Callithrix jacchus: one gene and its partners. The protein of the gene in region 1 interacts with the protein of each later gene in a pairwise test. Links are inferred from orthologs where the notes say so. Each region holds a gene or a part of one and is shown in the gene's direction. Other genes may lie near its edges.

The links.
Region 2: the proteins of HTT (region 1) and AP2A2 interact in a two-hybrid assay, tested with the Homo sapiens proteins (2 studies listed by BioGRID and IntAct). The link is inferred for Callithrix jacchus from reciprocal best matches to the Homo sapiens genes HTT and AP2A2.
Region 3: the proteins of HTT (region 1) and TRIP10 interact in binary tests that used the Homo sapiens proteins (3 or more experiments, as listed by UniProt). The link is inferred for Callithrix jacchus from reciprocal best matches to the Homo sapiens genes HTT and TRIP10.
Region 4: the proteins of HTT (region 1) and ERCC6L interact in binary tests that used the Homo sapiens proteins (3 or more experiments, as listed by UniProt). The link is inferred for Callithrix jacchus from reciprocal best matches to the Homo sapiens genes HTT and ERCC6L.
Region 5: the proteins of HTT (region 1) and H2AP interact in binary tests that used the Homo sapiens proteins (3 or more experiments, as listed by UniProt). The link is inferred for Callithrix jacchus from reciprocal best matches to the Homo sapiens genes HTT and H2AP.
Region 6: the proteins of HTT (region 1) and JAKMIP1 interact in binary tests that used the Homo sapiens proteins (3 or more experiments, as listed by UniProt). The link is inferred for Callithrix jacchus from reciprocal best matches to the Homo sapiens genes HTT and JAKMIP1.
Region 7: the proteins of HTT (region 1) and EZR interact in binary tests that used the Homo sapiens proteins (3 or more experiments, as listed by UniProt). The link is inferred for Callithrix jacchus from reciprocal best matches to the Homo sapiens genes HTT and EZR.

What each region holds. Positions count from the first base shown.
Region 1 is NC_133504.1:190,015,536-190,019,035, reverse strand, and holds part of HTT (huntingtin), read left to right. Parts: intron 1-63; coding exon 64-222; intron 223-314; coding exon 315-412; intron 413-1,897; coding exon 1,898-2,037; intron 2,038-3,500.
Region 2 is NC_133511.1:130,985,043-130,989,230, reverse strand, and holds the start of AP2A2 (AP-2 complex subunit alpha-2), read left to right. Parts: upstream 1-1,388; 5' UTR 1,389-1,540; coding exon 1,541-1,607; intron 1,608-4,188. UniProt on the Homo sapiens protein: Component of the adaptor protein complex 2 (AP-2). Adaptor protein complexes function in protein transport via transport vesicles in different membrane traffic pathways.
Region 3 is NC_133523.1:6,342,660-6,345,056, forward strand, and holds the end of TRIP10 (cdc42-interacting protein 4), read left to right. Parts: intron 1-373; coding exon 374-506; intron 507-738; coding exon 739-878; intron 879-958; coding exon 959-1,080; intron 1,081-1,449; coding exon 1,450-1,598; 3' UTR 1,599-1,897; downstream 1,898-2,397. UniProt on the Homo sapiens protein: Required for translocation of GLUT4 to the plasma membrane in response to insulin signaling. Required to coordinate membrane tubulation with reorganization of the actin cytoskeleton during endocytosis.
Region 4 is NC_133524.1:69,419,477-69,422,976, reverse strand, and holds part of ERCC6L (DNA excision repair protein ERCC-6-like), read left to right. Parts: intron 1-1,260; coding exon 1,261-3,500. UniProt on the Homo sapiens protein: DNA helicase that acts as a tension sensor that associates with catenated DNA which is stretched under tension until it is resolved during anaphase. Functions as ATP-dependent DNA translocase. Can promote Holliday junction branch migration (in vitro).
Region 5 is NC_133524.1:38,777,988-38,780,436, forward strand, and holds H2AP (huntingtin-interacting protein M), read left to right. Parts: upstream 1-1,413; 5' UTR 1,414-1,474; coding exon 1,475-1,828; 3' UTR 1,829-1,949; downstream 1,950-2,449.
Region 6 is NC_133504.1:186,296,324-186,299,823, reverse strand, and holds part of JAKMIP1 (janus kinase and microtubule-interacting protein 1), read left to right. Parts: intron 1-324; coding exon 325-471; intron 472-1,731; coding exon 1,732-1,872; intron 1,873-3,008; coding exon 3,009-3,068; intron 3,069-3,500. UniProt on the Homo sapiens protein: Associates with microtubules and may play a role in the microtubule-dependent transport of the GABA-B receptor. May play a role in JAK1 signaling and regulate microtubule cytoskeleton rearrangements.
Region 7 is NC_133505.1:165,579,687-165,582,719, reverse strand, and holds part of EZR (ezrin), read left to right. Parts: intron 1-199; coding exon 200-363; intron 364-725; coding exon 726-856; intron 857-1,623; coding exon 1,624-1,784; intron 1,785-2,115; coding exon 2,116-2,208; intron 2,209-3,033. UniProt on the Homo sapiens protein: Probably involved in connections of major cytoskeletal structures to the plasma membrane. In epithelial cells, required for the formation of microvilli and membrane ruffles on the apical pole. Along with PLEKHG6, required for normal macropinocytosis.

The sequences.
Region 1 (3,500 bases):
GTTTTGAGTTAGAAAGTTGATGGTGGGGAATTGTTCCCTGGGGGGGGCAATCTGTCTCCACAGAGGAACAGTATGTCTCAGACATCTTGAACTACATCGATCACGGAGACCCACAGGTTCGAGGAGCCACTGCCATTCTCTGTGGGACCCTCGTCTGCTCCATCCTCAGCAGATCCCGCTTCCACGTGGGAGAGTGGATGGGCACCATTAGAACCCTGACAGGTAATGGCCGGTTTTTCAGCTGTGTTTTTTCTAAATCTCATGACCAAGTATTAAGTTTCCATGATGACGTTGCTCCTTGTTGTTCTGCTTAGGAAATACATTTTCTTTGGCGGATTGCGTTCCTTTGCTGCGGAAAACATTGAAGGATGAGTCTTCTGTTACTTGCAAGTTGGCCTGTACAGCTGTGAGGGTGAGCATAATCTTCTCTGGAAACCATTTCTTCAATTAGTGGACACTTTATCATCACTAAAATTAAAATTGGAGCCTAATAGGAAATATTTCCATATACTCTGAAGCTGCACACAGTAATACCCACCATGTATCCATCTCTCAGCTTTAGAAGGAAAACATTGCCGATCAAGTTAATGCTCAGTAAACTTGTTTAAGTTTTAATTCTCAGAATATTTGTTTGAAATAGACCTTTTCCTAAAGGATATATTTACAAATAACCTGTCATTAAGTCTAAAGTCTTTTGAATACACTGGGCACGGTGACTTACGCTTGTAATCTGAGCACTTTGGGAGGCCAAGGTGGAAGAATTGCTTGAGCCCAGGAGTTCAAGACTATGGCAATGTAGTTGGACTCTGTCTCTACAGAAAATAAAAAAAACAAACAAACCATAAAACCCAATTAGCTGGGTGTGGTGGTGCATACCTACTCTCAGCTACTTAGGAAGCCTGAGCTAAGTGCTTGAGCCCTGGAGATCAAGGCTGCAGTGAGGCATGATTGCACCTCTGGCCTCTAGCCTGGGCAACAGAGTGAGACTGTCTCGAAAATAATAATAGTAATAACAATCTGTTGGATTTTAAAAAAACACTCTATTAGGTCTGTAGAATGGTAAGAGTTAAAGTGAGCCTTAGGGATTATTTAATCAACCTCTGTTTTTGTAAGAAGTGACACAGCCTCAATTCTTTAAGTGATAGCATGTTGAACCTTTCCATACCGGCTAGCTCGTTAAGTCACAACCGGCCAGTCAGCAAGAATAAAAATCAACCAGTAAAAATTAAAACAAAAAACCTACAGTTGTCAAATTTGTGGGATGCCTCCCCTTTTTAAAATGTCACACCTGACAGTAATTTTTCTCTAGTTTCCAGGTTTTGTTTCAGTCAGTTGTATCTTTCTTGAGTGGAAGGAAATGTGCTAACAGCTCAGTCTTGTGGCTAGTGGGGGGTTTGTGTGTCAGCCATGTGTGTGCTGGTGCCCCTGGGTGCTTGGGGCTGCAGGGGAGGGGTACAGCAGTCGGGACCTGTTCTGTTCTCCTGTGCCTTGGAGTACATAGTGACACAGTGCGGTGGTCCTTGGTGTAGGTCCCTTGTTCCTACCTTGGGTCTGAGATTTATTTAGAAGTAGTGTTAGGGCCGTGTGGCAGGCCCCTCTGTAACACCGATCAATGTTTATGAACTTGCCCTTTGCAAGTTGAAGCCATGATATAGCAGAAATGGAATTAAGAGAGAAACAGTTATGTGAAAGGGACACATTTACTTTTAAGCTTGTATTTACTGAGATAAATTATATACCATAAATGTTCTTGAGAGGTGTGGGAAAAGTACAACATCCTCGTTGCAGTTAAACCCAGAACATTGTGTGTCTAAGAGTGGTGGTTCTCAAACCGTCAAGATGTGGCTACTGAGTGGGGCTGACCTGCTGCCCTCTTGCCTTGGACCTTGTGTTCCAGCATTGTGTCATGAGTCTCTGCAGCAGCAGCTACAGTGAGCTAGGACTGCAGCTGCTCATCGACCTGCTGACACTGAGGAACAGTTCCTACTGGCTGGTGAGGACAGAGCTTCTGGAGACCCTTGCTGAGATCGACTTCAGGTAGATGGTCACGCCCATTAGATGGCATGAACTCAGCTCCATTGAAAGTCCTGGGGTCACCTGACACACGGAATGGTGTTACCAAGTACCCTGTCCATCAGAAACCTAGTGGGTTAGCTGGAGGGTAACGGTTTTCTCCTCCCAGTGGCTTTTTGCTGAACTTTGCCCTGTGCTTGGAGTTTTATTTTAATTAATTAATTTATTTTGAGACATGATCTTGCCCTGTTGCCCAGGCTGGAGTACAGGAGCACAGTCATAGCTCCCTGCACCTTTGAACTCCTGGACTCATATGATCTTCCTGCCTCACCCTCCTGATTAGGTAGGACAATAGGTGTGTGTCTCCACACCGGCTAATATTTATTTTTTGTAGAGATGGGGTCTTGCCATGTTGTCCAGGCTGGTCTCAAACTCCTGGGCTCAATTGACCCTCCAATCTTGGCCTCCCAAAGTGCTGGGATTATAGGCATGAACCACTGTGCCTGGCCTAGAATTTTAAAATATAAGTAGAATAAGAAAAGTAAATAAAATATAAGTAGAAGAGTAGACTTATTTTTTTGATACTCCTAGTCATTTACGTGTTCTGGATGGTGGGAATAAAAGAGCTTAGAATTTTTCATCTTTGTCTTGAACTTTTAAAAACTGTAGCTTATATTCTGCCTGTTGAAAGAGAATATAGTCATCATACTGAACCTAAGTAAGACAGCTGGTTTGTGTTTTGTTACAATTAAAAAATAACTTGAGACCGGGCGTGATGGCTCACGCTTGTAATCCCAGCACTTTGGGAGTCCGAAGCGGGTGGATCATGAGGTCAGAAGTTTAAGACCAGCCTGGTCAACATGGTGAAACCCTATCTCTACTAAAAATACAAAAAATTAGCTGGGCATGGTGGCGCATGCCTGTAATCCCAGCTACTCGGGAGGCGGAGGCAGGAGAATTGCCTGAACCCAGGAGGCGGAGGTTGCGGTGAGCCGAGATCCCGCCATTGCACTCCAGCCTGGGTAATAAGAGTGAAACTCCGTCTCAAAAAAAAAAATACAAAAATTAGCCCGACGTTCTTGGCACCCGCCTGTAATCCCAGTTACTCAGGAGGCTGAGGCAGGAGAATCGCTTGAACCTGGGAGGTGGAGGTTGCAGTGAGCCAAATTCACGCCATTGCACTCCAGCCTGGGTGATAGAGAGAGACTCTGTCTCAAACAAAACAAAACAACCAACCAAACAAGAAAAAAAAACTTGAGCTGTGTTGGAACTTTCATTTTCTAAGAGTAAAGTCTTTGCTGGATAAGGTTTCTTTTAGAAGGGAAATCTCCCTTTATAATTCAGGTTCTTTCCCCAAGCCACCTTTTATAGAGCCCTCGTGGGTTATTTCATTTAATCCTTAGAATGTCTGTAAATCTGGGATTGCTCTCCACTCCACCTACAGATAGGGACGCTGAGCATGGGTGAGTGAGCAAGGCAGCAGGTTA
Region 2 (4,188 bases), on another chromosome or scaffold:
TCCTGGTTTTTCCCAGGAGTTCTGGAGGCCCAGGGCCTGGGTGTGGTTCCCGGTTCATTGGGGAGGGGCCTGGGTGCTGCCCCCTCCTCCTGGCAGGGCTTCACTGGGCTAAACTCTCATCTGGGGTTGCGGAAGTGAGCCAGGGTGGGGACAAAGTCGTGGCTGGTGGGTCTGGGCCAGTTCCAGGTACAGGGCCCAGATCCTCCCACTCCAGGAGGAGGGAGCTCCCTCTTCAAAGCCATCTGGCTCTGGGAAGGGCCATCTGCTTCCAGGCTCCCTGGAGTCTCTTCCTGGCCTAAGACAGAGCCTGCAGCCTGGCCCAGAAGGTCCTCCCTCCCGCTGGGTCCGCAGGGGCCGGCCTAGGCCTCCAGCTTGCTGCTGTGCAGAGGGCCAGAGAGCAGAGGGGTCTCTGAAACAGTGGCAGAGAGTCCTCGCACTGAGGGACTGGATTCTGCACTGGGCTGCAGCCCCCAGCCACCGTCACGGGGTGGGGTGGGCGGTCGTTTCTCTGCAGGTCCGGGTGATGTGGAGGGGCGCCTGGGCTGCCACGCACAAATGGTGGGCTGGGACGCAACCTGGGCTGGGACGCAACCTGGGCTGGGACGCAACCTGGGCTGGGATGCAACCTGGGCTGGGACGCAACCTGGGCTGGGATGCAACCTGGGCTGGGACGCAACCTGGGCTGGGACGCAACCTGGGCTGGGACGCAAACGGTGCCCGCTTTGGCCCTGGACGCTCGGGTGGGCGGGAGGGGCAGGCCAGCCCTATGGTCTCAGGATACGGGGCTGGGGAGGGTCTCCTGGCCAAAGGCTGTCCCGCGGCGGTGACCCCTTCGCCCGGGCCCCGCATCCTTCGGCGCCGCCCTCCCGGTCCTGGCTCACCCGGGACAAACAAGGCCCTGGCCGCGGAGCCGCCCTGCCGCACAGCGCTCACGGGTCCTTTAGTCAATGTAGGAAAACGGAGACCTGCTGGGCGCGATCGAGGCGGGCCGATGCCCAGGGCGAAGCCGCACGTGTGCGCCTGCGTGGCTGCCCCTTTTGCAGTGACCACCAAGAGTGTCCCACGAACGGGCTCGTTGCCTGTAGTACCAGCAACAACAACGGAGGCGGCCGCGCTGCGCACGCGAGTACCCACGTGGACCCACACCCTTCCTGCGGGGGACGCGGGAGGCATCGCCAGCCCGGCGCGGCCCCGGGACGCGAACCCGTGACTCCCGCGTCTCCGCCTGTAGGGGGCGCTCCCGCGCCTACCTCAACCAGCTCGTCCCCGTGCCGCGGACGCGCGCGCGCTGCCTCACGCGACGGACGCCCCGGCTGCCGTCCGTCACCGCTCGCGTGCGTGCGCGTGCATGCGGGTGGGGGCGTCGTGCGTGCGCGCGCCGGCGGCCCAGAAAGCGGCGCTCGGAGCCTGAGGCGGCGGTGGTTAGGCGGCTCCCCGGCGGCTTCTCCGCGGCGGTGACGGCGCCCGCGCTTCCCGCTCCCCGCTCCCCGCGCTCCTCCGCCCGGGCCCGCCAGCCGAGGCCGCTCCGCAGCGCCGGAAGATGCCCGCCGTGTCCAAGGGGGATGGGATGCGGGGCCTGGCGGTCTTCATCTCGGATATCCGCAACTGTGAGTGGCGGGGGCGGCGCGGGGCAGGGGCCGCAGGGGGAGACGGTCTGCAGCGGGGGCCCGAGGCGGGGGTGCAGGCGGGCCCGGGGTCTGGGGGTGCGGGCTGGGATGCGGGGGGCCCGGGGTCTGGGGGTGCGGACTGGGATGCGGGGGGCCTGCGGTCTGGGGGTGCGGGCTGGGATGCGGGGGGCCCGGGGTCTGGGGGTGCGGGCTGGGATGCGGGGGGCCCGGGGTCTGGGGGTGCGGGCTGGGATGCGGGGGGCCTGCGGTCTGGGGGTGCAGGCGGGCCCGGGGTCTGGGGGTGCGGGCTGGGATGCGGGGGGCCCGGGGTCTGGGGGTGCGGGCTGGGATGCGGGGGGCCCGGGGTCTGGGGGTGCGGGCTGGGATGCGGGGGGCCCGGGGTCTGGGGGTGCGGGCTGGGATGCGGGGGGCCCGGGGTCTGGGGGTGCGGGCTGGGATGCGGGGGGCCTGCGGTCTGGGGGTGCGGGCGGCGCTCGGGGTCTGGGGGTACCAGGTCTCGGGGAGCGGGCGGGGTCCTGGGTCTGAGGGTGCGGGGCGGGGCCCTGGGTCTGGGGGTGCGGGCGGCGCTCGGAGTCTTGGGGTGCCGAGTGTGGGGGTGCAGGCCGGGGTGCGGGGCGGGGCCCAGGGTCTGGGGGTTCAGGGCACGGTCCTTCGTCCACATGCGCACTCCCGGTCCTGGGCTGCGCGGTGGCTGCGGCACCACCGAGGGGGTTCCGGGCCCAGACGCCCCTCCCCAGCATGATGTCACCTCGGTCTTTCTGGGAGCGCAGCGTTAACCCAGCCTTTCCCAAAACGGCGTGGCTTTTAGCTTTGGGAGCAGAAATCTGGAAATCGCCGCCTTCCCGGGAAACGGCTTTGTGACCTGGGTTCTGGGGGCTCATCCCCTGGCTGGATCTCACCCGCGGCGATTAAAATGACTCATTCCCGGGGGGAATCCGGACACGGGCCGTCGTCGGGGGTGTGGGTTGGCTGCTGCTGGCTGCTCCAGTCGCGGGCCTCGTTCTCAGCCACATGCGTGTCCCCTCGGGGTGGAACCGAACCGTGAAACAGGCCAGGAAGGCTCACGCCTGTAATCCCAGCACTTTGGGAGGCTGAGGCGGGTGGATCACGAGGTCGAGAGATCGAGACCATCCTGGTCAACATGGTGAAACCCCGTCTCTACTAAAAATACAGAAATTAGCTGGGCATGGTGGTACTAATTACAGGTACTACCTCACCTGTAATCCCAGCTACTCAGGAGGCTGAGGCAGGAGAATTGCTTGAACCCAGGAGGCGGAGGTTGCGGTGAGCCGAGATCGCGCCATTGCACTCCAGCCTGGGTAACAAGAGCGAACTCTGTCTCAAAAAAGAAAAAAAAGAGGACTTGGAAGGGGGTGCAAGGTGCAGGGTGGGCTGCAGGTCCACCGATTAATTTGGCTTCTGTGTGCAGAACCTCCTCTTGGCTTTCGGAGGCTGCCCTTTATATTTAATTTAAGGGAGAAAAAAAGCTAGTTTCCTGTCTGGTGTGTTGATTTTTTTCCTTGTTATCTACCACATAGTTGACTTAATGATTTTCTTTTTTTTTTTGAGACAGGGTCTCGCTCTGGCGCCCAGGCTGGAGTGCAGTAGTGCCATCACCGTGCACTCAACCTCCCCAACTCAAGTGATCCTACCACCTCAGTCTCCCAAGTTGCTGGGACTATAAGCGTGCACCACCACCACGCCTGGCTAATGCTCGTGTTTTTTTGTAGAGATGGGGTCTCACTATGTTGCCCAGCCTGGTCTTGAACTCCTGAGCTCAAGCGATCCACCTGCCTTGGCCTCCCAAAGTGCTGGGGTTACAGGCATGAAACATGGCACCTTCATAATTTTTAATGTATATTTTGAGGAATTTTTGTGACCTTCCCTTTGAAGTCTCATTTCCTTAGAGTAGATGGGGGGTCAGGAGGACAGTCTGGTTGACCACACTCTGTGGAAGGGTAGAAGACCATCTAACCCTTCCCCTACTCTGCAGAAAAAAAAAAAAAAGCGTAGAGCCAGGTGTAGTGGCTCATACCTGAGGTCCTAGCACTTTGGGAGGGTGAGGCAGGCAGATGTTTTGAGCCTAGAAGTTTGACACCAGCCTGGGCAATGTGGTGAGACCCTGTCTCTACCAAAAAAATATGAAAATTAGCTGGGCGTGGTGTTGTGCACCCCTATAGTCCCAGCTACTTGGGAGGCTGAGATAGGAGGATCACTTGAGCCCAGGAGGTCAGGCTGCAGTGAGCTGAGATTGCGCCACTGTACTCCAGCCTGGCTGACAGAGTGAGACCCTGTCTCAAAAAAAAAAAATGCTGGGTGCGGTGGCTCATGCCTATAATCCCAGTACTTTGGGAGGCGAGGCGGGTGGATCACGAGGTCAAGAGATTGAGACCATCCTGGTCAACAAGGTGAAACCTGGTCTGTACTAAATATACAAAAACTAGCTCGGCGTGGTGGTGCGCGCCTGTAGTCCCAGCTACTCAGGAGGCTGAGGCAAGAGAATTGCTTGAACCCAGAAGGTGGAGGTTGCGGTGAGCTGAGATCGTGCCATTGCACTCCA
Region 3 (2,397 bases), on another chromosome or scaffold:
GGTGTGCGCCTGTAGTCCCAGCTACTGGGGAGGTTGAGGCAGGAGGATCTCTTGAATCCAGGAGGCGGAGGTTGCAGTGAGCCAAGATTATGCCACTGCACTCCAGCCTGGGTGACAGAGTGAGACCCCGTCTCAAAAAAAAAAGAGAAAAATCAGGCGAGTGTGATGATGTGGGCCTGTAGTCCCAGCTACTCAGGAGGCTGAGGCAGGAGGATCACTTGAGCCTGGGAGGTCAAGGTTGCAGTGAGCTATGGTTGCACCACTGCACACCAGCCTGGGGAAAGAGAGTGAGAACCTGACTTAAAACAACAGCAACAACAAAAAAGCTCACAGGGAATTGCGTTTTCCTGTCTGCCTGTCTCCATTGTTGTAGGGAAGCCCTGAAGAAAATGAAGGATGTCTATGAGAAGACACCCCAGATGGGGGACCCTGCCAGCCTGGAGCCCCAGATCACCGAAACCCTGGGCAACATTGAACGGCTGAAATTGGAAGTGCAGAAGTATGAGGTCAGAAAAGACCCTGGGGAGGGGTGGGGGCCGGCGGGCCTGGCTGAGTCACTGCAGGGTGGGGTGGGGGTTGGGGACAGGGGAGGTGCTTGGAGCGGGGAAGGGGGTTCTCCAGCTGTTTTCCATCACAGCCTTGGCGGTGCCTGAGTGATCTCAGGGATCCTCCGGGGCCAGAGTGGGCTGACCTGGGAGCTCTGTCCTGGAAACGATCTTGGCGGTCCTCTCCTCCCAGGCGTGGCTGGCAGAAGCTGAAAGTCGAGTCCTTAGCAACCGTGGAGACAGCCTGAGCCGGCATGCCCGGCCTCCTGACCCCCCCACTAGCGCCCCACCAGACAACAGCAGCAACAGTGGATCACAGGACACCAAGGAGAGGTGAGGGGTGACGCCAGAGTGGGTGTGTTCCCAGGGACCCAGGAGGGCACATCTTTATCAGCCTAATTCTCCCCAAACAGCTCTGAAGAGCCTCCCTCAGAAGAGAGCCAGGAAACCCCCATTTACACGGAGTTTGATGAAGATTTCGAGGAGGAAGCCACATCTCCCATAGGTCACTGTGTGGCCATCTACCATTTTGAAGGTGAGGACGGCCAGAGTGGGCTTGCGGGGTGTCTCTATCTAGGTTCAGTTTAAATCCGTCTAAAGCAGGGCTGGGTACTTTGGGAGGCTGAGACAGACAGATCACTTGAGGTCAAGAGTTCCAGACCAGCCTGGCGAACATGGTGAAACCCCATCTCTACTAAAAATACAGAAATTAGCCAGGCGTGGTGGCGCATGCCTCGGGAGGCTGAGGCAGGAGAATCTTAAACCTGGGAGGCGGTGGTTGCGGGGAGCCGAGATCGCGCCATTGCACTCCAGCCTGGGTGACAGAGTGAGACTTGATCTCAAAAATAAAAAATAAATAAATTTGCCTAAAGTAGATCTAAGCCTATCTCCACCCCCATGACAGGGTCCAGCGAAGGCACCATCTCCATGGCTGAGGGTGAAGACCTCAGTCTTATGGAAGAAGACAAAGGGGATGGCTGGACCCGGGTCAGACGGAAAGAGGGAGGCGAGGGCTACGTTCCTACCTCCTACCTCCGAGTCACGCTCAATTGAACCCTGCTGGAGGCGGGAAGAGGGGGGCTGTCGGCTGCTGCTTCTGGGCCACGGGGGTGCCCCAGGACCTATGCACTTTATTTCTGACCCCGTGGCTTCGGCTGAAACCTGTGTAACCTGCTGCCCCCTCCAACCCCCCCACCTGACTCCACCTGTTGCTCCAGATGGACCCGCCGTGCCTTCTTCCACCATTGTTCCACCATTGATGTACATACTCATGTTTGACATCTTTTCTTCCTGCTGCTCGGCTCCGGCTATTTTGTTTTATACAAAAATGGGAAAAAAATTAATTATATAAAGTTCCTGGAGTCGGTGCCTTATTAGAAGATTTAAATACTGGGAGTGGAAGTATCTTAACGCCACATTTCTTACAGGCCACACACACAGGGAACAAGAAAGGGCAGGTGCTCTTGGGCATGCCTTGGGTCAACCCTGCCCCTTTGGGGAAGTTGGCTTTATGTCATTGTCATTGGCTGCCTGCTTGTGACTCAGGTAGAGAGAAGGATACCAAGTTTCTTTTTCTTTTTGAGATAGTCTCACCCAGTTGCCCAGGCTGGAGTGCAGTGGCGTGATCTCGGCTCACTGCAGACTCTACCTCCCGGGTTCAAGCAGTTCTGCCTCAGCCTCCCAGGTAGCTGGGATTACAGGCACACACCATCACGCCTGGCTAATTGTTTTTGTATTTTCTCTAGAGGCAGGGTTTTCCCATTTTGGCCAGGCTGGTCTTGAACTCCTGACCTCAAGTGAGCCATCCACCTTGGCCTCCCAAAGTGCTGGGATTATGGGCGTGAGCCACTGC
Region 4 (3,500 bases), on another chromosome or scaffold:
CATTTTGAGTTAATTTTTGTATATGGTGTAAGTAGGGGTCCAATTTCATTCTTTTGCACATAGATATTCAGTTGAAAAGACTTCTTTCTCTAGTGAATTGTTTTAGCATCCTTACTGAAATTAATTGACCATACACCACTGAAGAATTGTAAGCAGAGGAGTGACATGATTTATTTTACGCTTTAAGACAGTATTGCTGGTTGCTATATAGAGAGTGTATTGGAGAGGGCAAGAGTTTATGTAGGGAGACCAGTGAGTAGGAAACTGCAGTTATCCAGGCCAGAGATGATGGTGACTTGGGCCACAGTAGTGGTAGTAGAGATGGAAAGAAGGTTGTTATAACTTGGGAAGTAAAGTTAGTAGGACTTGGGACTGCCTGGCCTGAGGGTGGGGCATAAAAAAAACAGAAAGGACAAGGATGACTCATATTTAGGTTGGGGTCAAGGATTCTCTTCAGATTTGAAGTTTGTGTGGCTAAGTAGAGGGTAGTGTTATTTACTCCCACACAAATGGAGAAGCGTGTTTTTAGAGGGGAAATAATGAGTTTAGTTTGGGATGAATTGAATTTGACTTCAAGGGGAGATGTCCAGAAGGCAGTTGAATGGCTCTACAGTAGAGCTTGAGGGACAGCTCTGGGTTGGAGAGAGTGATTTGGGAATCATGAGCACATAAGTGGGAGTGGAAGCTCTGGGAAAACTTGAGGAGAGACTAAAAAGAGTGAGAAGAGGTCCTATGACTGAGTCCTCTGGTAGAAGGAACACAGAAGAAATGGTCAAGTGAAGAGGAGGAAAACCAGAAGGAATCTGTAGGAATCTGGTGAAAGGAGGGAATTTTAAGAGTGGAAAGTAGTGATCAGTAGTGTCAAATGCATCACAGTAGTCCAGTAAAATAAGGCCAGAGAAGTTCCCCATGTTTCCATGTCCCTACACATAGAGGATTGTTTGTTTTACAAAAAAATCACTTCTTACTTCTTACGGGTGCCAACTTTAACAAAGTACTGTGGAACCAATAACCTTTGCACATTAATTTTCCACAAATAGTGTCTGAAGGTGTTGCTGGCAGTATCTGGTGGATATTTGTGTCTCAAGTGACACCAGCTTTCACTGCATCTTCTGTGCTAATCTTTCCCATCCTGAATTGAGGATATTAAAAGTCCAGCTGCAGTTTGGATTCCAAAATGAACTCTAAAGCATTCTTCGACTGAATGTTCAATGTTTCCTTTCTTTTCTTTTTTATTTTATTTTATTATTTACTTTATAGATACGTGAAAGAGGCCAAAGAAGCAGCTAAGAATGGAGATCTGGAAGAAGCATTTAAACTTTTCAATTTGGCAAAGGACATTTTCCCCAATGAAAAGGTGCTGAGCAGAATCCAAAAAATACAGGAAGTCTTGGAGTTGGCAGAACAGGGAGATGATGAATTTACAGATGTGCGCAACTCTGGCCTGCTGCTTTATCGAGAACTGCACGACCAACTCTTTGAGCACCAGAAGGAAGGCGTAGCTTTCCTCTATAGCCTGTATAGGGATGGAAGAAAAGGTGGTATTTTGGCTGATGATATGGGATTAGGGAAGACTGTTCAAATAATTGCTTTCCTTTCTGGTATGTTTGATGCTTCACTTGTGAATCATGTGCTGCTGATCATGCCAACCAATCTTATGAACACATGGTTAAAAGAATTTGTTAAGTGGACTCCAGGAATGAGAGTCAAAACCTTTCATGGTCCTAGCAAGGATGAACGAACCAGAAACCTCAATTGGATTCAGCAAAGGAATGGTGTCATTATCACTACATACCAAATGTTAATCAATAACTGGCAACAACTTTCAAGCTTTAGGGGCCAAGAGTTTCTGTGGGACTATGTCATCCTTGATGAAGCACATAAAATAAAAACCTCATCTACTAAGTCAGCAATATGTGCTCGTGCTGTTCCTGCAAGTAATCGCCTCCTCCTCACAGGAACCCCAATCCAGAATAACTTACGAGAACTATGGTCCCTATTTGATTTTGCTTGTCAAGGATCCCTGCTGGGAACATTAAAAACTTTTAGAATGGAGTATGAAAATCCTATTACTAGAGCAAGAGAGAAGGATGCTACCCCAGGGGAAAAAGCCTTGGGATTTAAAATATCTGAAAACTTAATGGCAATCATAAAACCCTATTTTCTCAGGAGGACTAAAGAAGAAGTACAGAAGAAAACAAGCAACCCAGACGTCAAACTTAATGAAAAGAATCCAGATGTTGATGCCATTTGTGAAATGCCTTCCCTTTCCAGGAAAAATGATTTAATTATTTGGATACGACTTGTGCCTTTACAAGAAGAAATATACAGGAAATTTGTGTCTTTAGATCATATCAAGGAATTGCTAATGGAGACGCGCTCACCTTTGGCTGAGCTAGGTATCTTAAAGAAGCTGTGTGATCATCCTAGGCTGCTGTCTGCACGGGCTTGTGGTTTGCTAAATCTCGGGACTGTCACATTCTCTGCTCAAGATGGAAATGAAGGGGAAGATTCCCCAGACATGGACCATATTGATCAAATAACTGATGACACATTGATGGAAGAATCTGGAAAAATGATATTCCTAATGGGCCTACTTAAGAGGCTGCGAGATGAGGGACATCAAACTCTGGTGTTTTCTCAGTCAAGGCAAATTCTAAACATCATTGAACGCCTCTTAAAGAATAGGCACTTTAAGATATTGCGAATCGATGGGACAATTACTCATCTTTTGGAAAGAGAAAAAAGAATTAACTTGTTCCAGCAAAATAAAGATTACTCTGTTTTTCTGCTTACCACTCAAGTAGGTGGTGTCGGTTTAACATTAACTGCAGCAACTAGAGTGGTCATTTTTGACCCTAGCTGGAATCCTGCAACCGATGCTCAAGCTGTGGATAGAGTTTACAGAATTGGACAAAAAGAAAATGTTGTGGTTTATAGGCTAATCACTTGTGGGACTGTAGAGGAAAAAATATACAGAAGACAGGTTTTCAAGGACTCATTAATAAGACAAACTACTGGTGAAAAAAAGAACCCCTTCCGATATTTTAGTAAACAAGAATTAAGAGAACTCTTTACAATCGAGGATCTTCAGAACTCTGTAACCCAGCTGCAGCTTCAGTCTTTGCATGCTGCTCAGAGAAAATCTGATACAAAACTAGATGAACATATTGCCTACCTGCAGTCTTTGGGGATAGCTGGAATCTCTGACCATGATTTGATGTACACATGTGATCTATCTATTAAAGAAGAGCTTGATGTGGTAGAAGAATCTCACTATATTCAACAAAGGGTTCAGAAAGCTCAATTCCTTGTTGAATTTGAGTCTCAAAATAAAGAGTTCCTCATGGAACAACAAAGAAATAGAAATGAGGGGGCCTGGCTAAGAGAACCTGTATTTCCTTCTTCAACAAAGACGTGCCCTAACTTGAATAAACCACAGCCTCAGCCTTCACCTCTTATAAGTACTCATGATACTCAGGAAGAAGATATCAGTTCCA
Region 5 (2,449 bases), on another chromosome or scaffold:
GATTGCAAAAGACACCAAAATTAGTGAATTCACTGCCATGAAATCATCCTACAGAAATAAAATCAAAGGCATGGCTAGCCATTCTTTTGTTAGTGCCTTTAAGGGATGAAAAGACCAAAGTATTCAATCACACAGATGATGTTTTGAAGAGATATGGGGTGTGCTTCTCAAATATGCAAGGAATAGAGACGGAATTTTCTGAGAGATCTGTGAAGAAGACTCTGTCTAATGGCATGAATCCTCATGACATACATAAAACACATGTAAGTTTTTGAGAATGTTATATCAGCAGAAACAATGCCAGCTTAGACTGAAAGAAAGAAATAGAGCAAGAAATGAAAGAAGGCTATAGGACTCCCAAAATTTGACAGGAGAAAGCAGGCTGATAAAACTACTCGGCTGTAAACACATGCTACCATTCAAAATAAAGGAAAAATGACTGAGGGCAGAACCAAGAGACCAGAGGGAAGATTTATTCCCCCAGGTGAAGTTACAGGATCAGAGTGATCAGAGGGAGGGGTCTCAAGCTGTAGACTATTCCCAGGCCTTGAAACCTAATGGTTAGATTTTGAAATTGTTTGGATTTGAGACTATTTTCTTTCCACTATTTCCCTTGTGAAATGGCAAAGTTATTGGCTGTAAATGAACAAAACTCAAAGGGAAAACACAGAATTAGCAGAGAGTAAAATTAAATAATAGAAAAGAAACAACTCTTAGTGCTTTGGCTTCACCTAGGAGAGACAAGAAATACACATCTGGGCTTAAACTGAGCACAAGATGCACTTCTCCATCAACTATGTTTACCTGGCACTGACAGGTATTGAGCATCTTATTATTAATTGCAAAATGATTAAAAAATATTTTTCAAATAGAGTAAAATCATGACACTCATACAGATATGAAATGAACATATACTAAAAGAAAAGGTTATTATAACAGGTTCAAAAGGGAAACCAAAGAATTGATATGGGAATATTCATCAGGAATATTAAATGATTGTGTGTAAATGGAGGTAAAATTGGTTTCATTAGGTGAAGGACAACTGAACCTCTACTGAAGAATATATCATCCATGTATCTGTGGCCTACAAGTAACAAAAACCTATGCAAGATTTCAGAGATAATGTAAGGCTAGAATCAGATAATTTGCAATGATGTCCTAAAGATAGAGCAAAGTTTTCCACTGAAACACACATTTATTTTTACAATGTCAAAATCAGATAAAAAGTTATAGTTCTCTCAAAATCAGGATTCAGTCATTAGGGTGACTAGGTCAGTGTCACAGACATTTCTAGGCTGAGGTCTGCTCAGGGAAATTCCAAAGTCTAGGATGTCACAAAGGCAGCTAGCTCCCTGACCAATCAGGGCCTGGAGCAGAGAGATACAATGGGCAGGACTAAGTGCCAGTGTCCTTGGAGACCTGCTCAAGCAGGAGAATCAAGCATAGCTCAGCAGAGCCAGACCAAGCAAACATAATGTCAGAAACAGAAAACTGTAAGAACTCCCCTACAAATAACAATCAGAATCAAGAACCTTCAAGAAATGAGCCACAGGTCCCTAGGACCTTCGTTGACCGCCTTCTTCAGGATGAACGAGATGCCCAAAGCCAGACTTCCTCCATGATAAATAGCCTCCTTACCTTGCTCGATTGCCTTGGTGACTTCATCATGGAGCAGGTAGGCCTGGAGGCCAGCCACAATGACAGTATGAACAACACTTCACAAGATGCGGAGAGAGAAGTGGACAACAACCGTGAGCCCCACTGCCTCGAGAGCGATATAACCTGCTTTCTGTTGGATGGGATGCCCAAATCCGAGAAGAATGGCTGAAGACCGAGTTCCAAAGCCTGGAAGGGATCCTCTCAGGCTTAACCAGGGCAAAAACATATCATAGCTGAGGAATCCCTGCTGTTGTCATCAACAAGTGCTATTAAAGGATGTAAATCCGTGAGTATGTTTCTGACTCCACTTAGTTTCCGTCACTTTGGGTTGGAGGTGTTTGTGAGACATCTAGGAGAAGCTATTCCTAGAGAGCTGAAGGGGTGTAGGGGTGGCCAGTGTGGGGAGTTTTGAATTAATGATTTTAGAGGGGGCAGTCTCCAATAGTGACTATGAGGTCACTGGCCTTTTGGGGAGGAACTGGCTGGGGTAGACACAGAGACTTCCTCATTGCCTTGGAACAGGAAGGCCTTGTGAGGCCAGGGGGTTGGCTGGGGACCTCTGAGGCTTGTTGAATTCCCAGCCTGATGCTGGGGCCTGGGGTGGAGCTGCAATCTCTGACTGAGGTGCTGGAGGCTTCATTCAGGATAGCAAAGGTCTGAAGTCAGATGGCGGCGGTCACAGAGGTGGATGGAGAGGGGGCACACTGGCTGGCATGAACTTAATGGGACAGGGGCTTTACATAGACATTGAGGAGTGAAGGAAAAACCATCACGAAAAATGCATAAAAGA
Region 6 (3,500 bases), about 3.7 Mb from region 1:
GTGGTTGTCATAATATTGATAGATAGTTACGTTGTTTCTAATTCTTTTCATGAAAATAACCCTGAGGGGACTATCAGTATGCATTTAATTCATACCACATGCCTAGGAGACAGAAGCTGCCATGATTCTCATTTGATAGGTGAGGAACTGAGGCTGAGAACTTGCCTGTGGTCATGCCACTAGCAAACAAGTGTGTCACCCAGGACGCTGGTCTCGGACGGGGTCCTAACAGGGCTGGGGTTGAGCCTCTGCTCACCTCGGTGCTGTGACCTCAGCCGTCCATCTTCAAGTTGTCTGAGCCTCTGTGTCTGTTTCCGAACACAGCTGAAACGCTCGCGAGAGACTGAGGTTCAGCTGAAGCCTCTGGTGGAGAAGAACAAGAGGATGAACAAGAAGAATGAGGATTTGTTGCAGAGTATACAGAGGATGGAGGAGAAAATTAAGAATCTCACACGGGAAAATGTGGAAATGGTGAGCCATGGGCCCCGTGGGTCAGCCCTGGCACTCCCATCTCTATCTGGGATTCTCAAGCCCCGAACCTTCCGGTCCACATGTTCTGGGGCCCACCTGCCACCCACCTCCCCAAGAAGCACCAGAAGCAGCGTCGGTCAAACGTCTCTTCCTTCTCTCCATCTGTCTTGCATTCACTGTGCTGTGGGTGTTTGTGCCAGAGAGACAGCTGTGTCCTTAAACACATCCCCCATTCTCTCTGAGCCTGTTTCTTCATACATACAATGGGAATGAAAATATCAACACTGCAGGATCACCAAGAGGAAGAAATGATAGCACGCAAAGACCTCAGAGGACACCCAGTATGTGAAAGCCGTTACTATGATCGCTGGTGATGCTCTGCAGAGGGCGTTTTTCCTCCAGCTAGGATGCCTGGTGTTTGTGGTCAGTGCGGGTGTCTTGTAGTTGACAGTTTACAGAACGCTTTCAGGTTCATTGTTCAGAGTAACATCAACCCCTGTTTCACAGACAGTGGAGGTGCTGAGAGCATGCACGCTCCACTGTCTGTACCACAGCAGGTGCAGGTGTGTGTGTGTGTGTGTGTGTGTGTAGTTTGCTGTTTTGTGAAGTCCTCGCCTTCCCCTGCCTTCCCCTCCCAGCTTTCTAGACTCATTTCAGATGTCATCTTCTGTGCCCAGGCCCAGTCCATCCCTTCCTGTCAGCAGCATGCACAGTCAGCCCAACCTTGGGCTTGGTTTTGATCTGCCTTGTCCCCTCTTCCAGCACAGGACAAGGGGGCCACATATTAGTCCATTTTCACACTGCTGATAAACACATACCTGAGACTGGGTAATTTATAATGATAAAAACGTTTAATGGACTCACAGTTCCACCTGACTGGGGAGGCCTCACAATCATGGCAGAAGGCTAAAGGCACATCTTATGTGGTGGCAGACAAGAGAGATTGAGAGCTAAGTAAAAGGGGAAAGCCCTTACAAAAACATCAGAGACTTATTCACAACCATCAGAACAGTATGGGGGAACCACCACACGATTCAGTTATCTCACACTGGGCCCCTCCCATAACACATGGGAATTATGGGAGCTACAATTCCAGATGAGATTTGGGTGGGGACACAGCCAAACCATATCAGGCCATCATCTCTTTCATCCTCCCATCCATCCATCTGTCCCTGCACCCCTAAGCCCCACTCCAGTGCTGTCCCTAACAAACATTGTTGGTGGGTAATGCTGCAGTGGTCTCTCTCCCTGTGGCTGCAGAAAGAAAAGCTGTCGGCACAGGCGTCTCTGAAGCGGCACACCTCCCTGAACGACCTCAGCCTGACCAGGGATGAGCAGGAGATCGAGTTCCTGAGGCTGCAGGTGCTGGAGCAGCAGCACGTCATTGACGACCTCTCACTGGTACATCTAGCATGGCTGCTGTGGCTGCCCCTGGTGCGGGTGGCACGGGGTGACATGGGTGTCAGGAACGGGTGTCGGGGCTCAGGGTGGTGCTGCTGAGCTGGGTCAGGGTCAGGCAGTGCTGACTTTGGGAAGCTCACCCCGGTGTGCTCATGCCTGCTTCATTCTGCCATCAAGCAGCCTTGGCTTAAACGAGATCACTGGTACCTGGGGACGGTTTCCATGGCTACCCTCTTCTCAAATCTTCTCCCTGTTTGCTGTGGTTAAGAAGCAGCATCAGTTTTAAGGATGTCTTTTGCCTGTTAGAGACTGGGCATGATCTGTTCCAGAGAAGGCTTTTTGTTTGTTTGTTTGATTGGTTTTTAGTTAGCAGTTGCAGACTGTGAGTTTGAGCCCACAAATTTGAACTGTATAATCAGAACAGCACTCAGCTAAATCTGTCTGTGTGCTTTTTGGACATGTATATGGGCCATGCATCTATCGAAGCGGGGTTAGTATGTTAAGCAAGTGGGGAATTACATCCAGAGAATTCTGCAGCTCTCTGTGAAAGGAGCTTAGGTAACAGGCAGGGAACACCTGCAGGGAGCTTTAGCCAGGTCTTAGAAGTGGAACGTGTTCTGCTGTCACCCGAGAGGGTGTGTGATGGTTCCATGCACTGGTCTTCAAAGAATAGGAAAGCTAGTGATCAAAATTCTAGAAAAGGCTTTGATTATAATTGTCATGTTCATTTTGCCTGCCGCCATCTCTCTCTACCACTTTAACTGCTCTCTTTCTTCCTTTCATCTGTCCATCCATCCATCTACTCACCCATGCTTTCATGCTTCCATCTACTTATCCATCCATCCATCCATCCATCCATCCATCCATCCATCCATCCATCTTTGCTTCATCACATAAAAGACTCAATGCAGCTTAGGATGAAAAATATATTTCAATGAAATAAAAAGTCAAAAGGTGGATAATAAACCCTCCCTGTAGCTCTCAGTTCAGAGAAGCAGCCATCACTTGGGCCCTTAGAACTTGAACTAGCCATACCTGGTGTGGATGGGCAGGCACAGCTCCCTTTGAGAGCCAGTGGCTTTGTTTCATGAGATGTGAGGCCGGCTGGAAATGCCAACTCTTGTGCTTCCTTCTAGGAGAGAGAACGGCTGTTGCGCTCCAAAAGGCATCGAGGGAAAAGTCTGAAACCGCCCAAGGTGAGCCTGCGATGATACACCTGCCCTGCCTTGCCGCTGTGTCACAGATCTGCAGGGCAGATGGGTCATGGAAGCGGGGAGGTTTCACAGAGGGATCCTGAAGCAGAGACACACACGTCTCTGCATGCCTGATGATGAAAAGCCTGTCATCACCGCCTCTCAAAGCAACATAAATATGGCCCTGCGATGCGACCCAGTTACTGTAATTTATTCATGGAAAACTTCCTGATGAATTCTCTACTTCGGCCTCAGGGTATATTCCCCAAAATTAAAAACATAAATACTTAAAGCTTTTGAAGGATTTAAGGGACTTTCAGGATTGGTTTATATCAGAACACATCCCGTTCTGAAACAAATCAGGAGCTTTGTGCTGTTTTGGAATCACTCAGAACTTCGGTCTTTCTGGAAAATGGAGGTCTGCTCTTTCCTGGT
Region 7 (3,033 bases), on another chromosome or scaffold:
ATAACCACACACACGCAGCACCTGCACGCCCTCCCCATCCCAGAGAATGCACATTCTGAATACCAAGGCTGCTCTGCTACATCCCTGTTCTACTACATTGGTTCTTTTAGAAAAGTTCTGGACCTTTGTGAAGTATGGTTTGGGAGAAGAAAACCAAACGAAGGAGCTTGAGTCCAGGTTACCCTGTTCTGTTTCGTAGGACTTTGTGTTTTATGCCCCCCGCCTGAGAATTAACAAACGGATCCTGCAGCTCTGCATGGGCAACCATGAGCTGTACATGCGCCGCAGGAAGCCCGACACTATCGAGGTGCAGCAGATGAAGGCCCAGGCCCGGGAGGAGAAGCATCAGAAGCAGCTGGAACGGTGAGCATGGGAGGCCGGAGCAGGGGCCTGTGTTCTCCCTGCTCAGCCTCCGCCAGCCCTACCTGCCGAGGTAGCCGGTGCCTGTCAGGTGACCCCAGAGCTCATCAGGACAGCCTGGTGGAATGGAACCCAGTCGCCACACTGGGTTCTTCCGGGCCTTTGTCTCTGGGCAGTGGCTGTGGTGCTGAGCCTGGTGTCAGCCCTGGAGCAGCTGCTCTATCAGGTGGCTCAGGCTGGCAGCAGGCCAGGGTGGCCCTGAGGATACCAAGTCCATCCTAGAACTGCACACCCCCTGAAGTGTGTTGACCCCTTACTTCCCTGCTAGAGTCTAAATGTCCCTGTGCCTCTTTCCGCCTCACTAGGCAACAGTTGGAAACGGAGAAGAAAAGGAGAGAAACTGTGGAGAGAGAGAAAGAGCAGATGATGCGTGAGAAGGAGGAGCTGATGCTGCGGCTGCAGGACTATGAGGAGAAGACCAAGAAGGCAGAGAGAGGTCAGGAGCCCTGGGGCGGCTGGTGCTCCACACTGGGGCATGCATTTCCACAGAGAGGCAGGGCCCACACCCACCCACCAGGAAGGAACCTCTTCCCAAGAATGAGTCCCACAGTGCAGACTCGCAGCAGAATTGACAACATGGTTATTTGGTTTGGAAAATGATTCTGTTCTTCCTTAACTTTGGTGCTAATTGTTCTAAGACATCGCATTTTAAAATTTCCCTAGACCTTTGAGGTAAGAGCTAAATCACCCAGTTTCCCCAATAAGGACATTAAGGTTTGGTGTGGTACAGTGACTTGCCCACAGTCCCACAGACCATGAGTGACAGGGCTGAGCCAGTCTTCCCTGCACAGCTCCAGTAGACAACCCCAGCAGCTGGGCCGTTACACAGGGCGTCACAGATGCTGTGTTCATTGGCAGCCCTTAGCACACACGGGGAGAGCATTTCTATGTTCTGAGTGTGGGGTGGTACCTGCACACCGGGTAGCTGGCCTGGGGAGAGGAGCACCAGGAGGGGTGAGTCAGGCATGCCAGGGAGTGGGCGCCTGGCTGGGGTTGGACAGGGGTTTCTAGCCATACTGAGGAAGTTGTCATGGAAACGACAGGAATGAGCTGTGAAGTGCTTTCTTCGGGGTCACTGGAAGACATCCCATCGACTTGTGACTTGGTCCAAGGCTCTCTGGCTTTTTGGGTGGAAATAGAAGATGGGGGTTCCAAGGTCCCTGGGCTGAGGGCTTGAGTAGTTCTGGCTTTGTGTCTTCTCAGAGCTCTCAGAGCAGATTCAGAGGGCCCTGCAGCTGGAGGAGGAGAGGAAGCGGGCTCAGGAGGAGGCTGAGCGCCTAGAGGCTGACCGCATGGCTGCACTGCGGGCTAAGGAGGAGCTGGAGAGACAGGCGGTGGATCAGATAAAGAGCCAGGAGCAGCTGGTAGGAATCGCCTGAGTTTCAAGATGCTGAATTATAGAGAGGATGCTTCTGAGGATGGAAAATGTGACACCTGCCTTGTAATAATTGTCATGACTGGAAGCTGTTAACTGATCTGGGGGCTGAAGCAGCTGACGGGGAAGGGGCTGGGCTGTTGCCTGGGTCACCCATAGAAGGTGGGTGTGAGCATCCAGGAAGAGACGGCAGGAGTGTATGATAGACCCTGTTGGCCATGGGTAGGAGGGACTCGGGTGTCACAGTGGAGGCTGCTCATTCACAACCAGACTGTCGAAAGGGTTCCAGAACTCACTTGAGCTTGGCGTTCCCTTTCCAGGCTGCAGAGCTTGCGGAGTACACTGCCAAGATCGCCCTCCTGGAAGAGGCGCGGAGGCGCAAGGAGGATGAGGTTGAAGAGTGGCAGCACAGGGTGAGTCTGCCGGGCAACTTCCACATGCCCACGGCACATGTTGCCCACTGGCTGTGGTGTGGCCCTTCTGCAGGTGGGGTGGGGGGTGGTGGTTTTACTCAGCAGCCAGTTCCCACTGGAAGCTTCTGGGATGTCTCATGATCCTCTGCTACCAGCTGTACGGTTGAAGTAGAAATCCCCAAAGAGATGGGTCTGAGCTTATACACGAGTCAGCACAGTTGCTGGATACGTGGAGAGAGGGAGGACTTCTGACTTTCACCCACTTTGCTCCCCTGACCCTGACTGTTAAGTGCCCATCTGCAGCCTGGTCAGGAACTGGTTTTAAATCAAGTTACCTATGTGCTCCTTGCAATGGGGTCAAAGTGCTGGAAACATGATCTCCTGCTGATGGTATACACAGTGGGCACCATGGTAAGATCCAGGTCCTTGGAAGTCTCCAGGCTGGAGCAAGAGCCAGGCTCTGCTGCTCATCAGCTTGTGTGACTGGGGGCTAGCAGCATCACCTCTCTGAGCCTCATTGTAGGATGGGAGCAATACCCAACACATAAGGTTGCTCTGCAGGTGCAAGGTCACATGCCCAGGACCTAGCACAGACCCTCTGGCCCATCCTTCCCTCTCTGTGGTGCTGCCTTGTGAGGACTTGTCTCCCTTCTGTCCACGGCTGCTTCTACCTAGCATCTCCTTGCCTCTGTTCAGCCTATTCCTGCTGCCAATCTGTATTGTTCTGTTCTCACCCCACTATCAAGAACTACCTGAGACTCGGTAGTTCATAAAGAAAAGAGGTTTAATTAACTCACAGTCTCATGGCTGGGGAGGCCTCAGGAA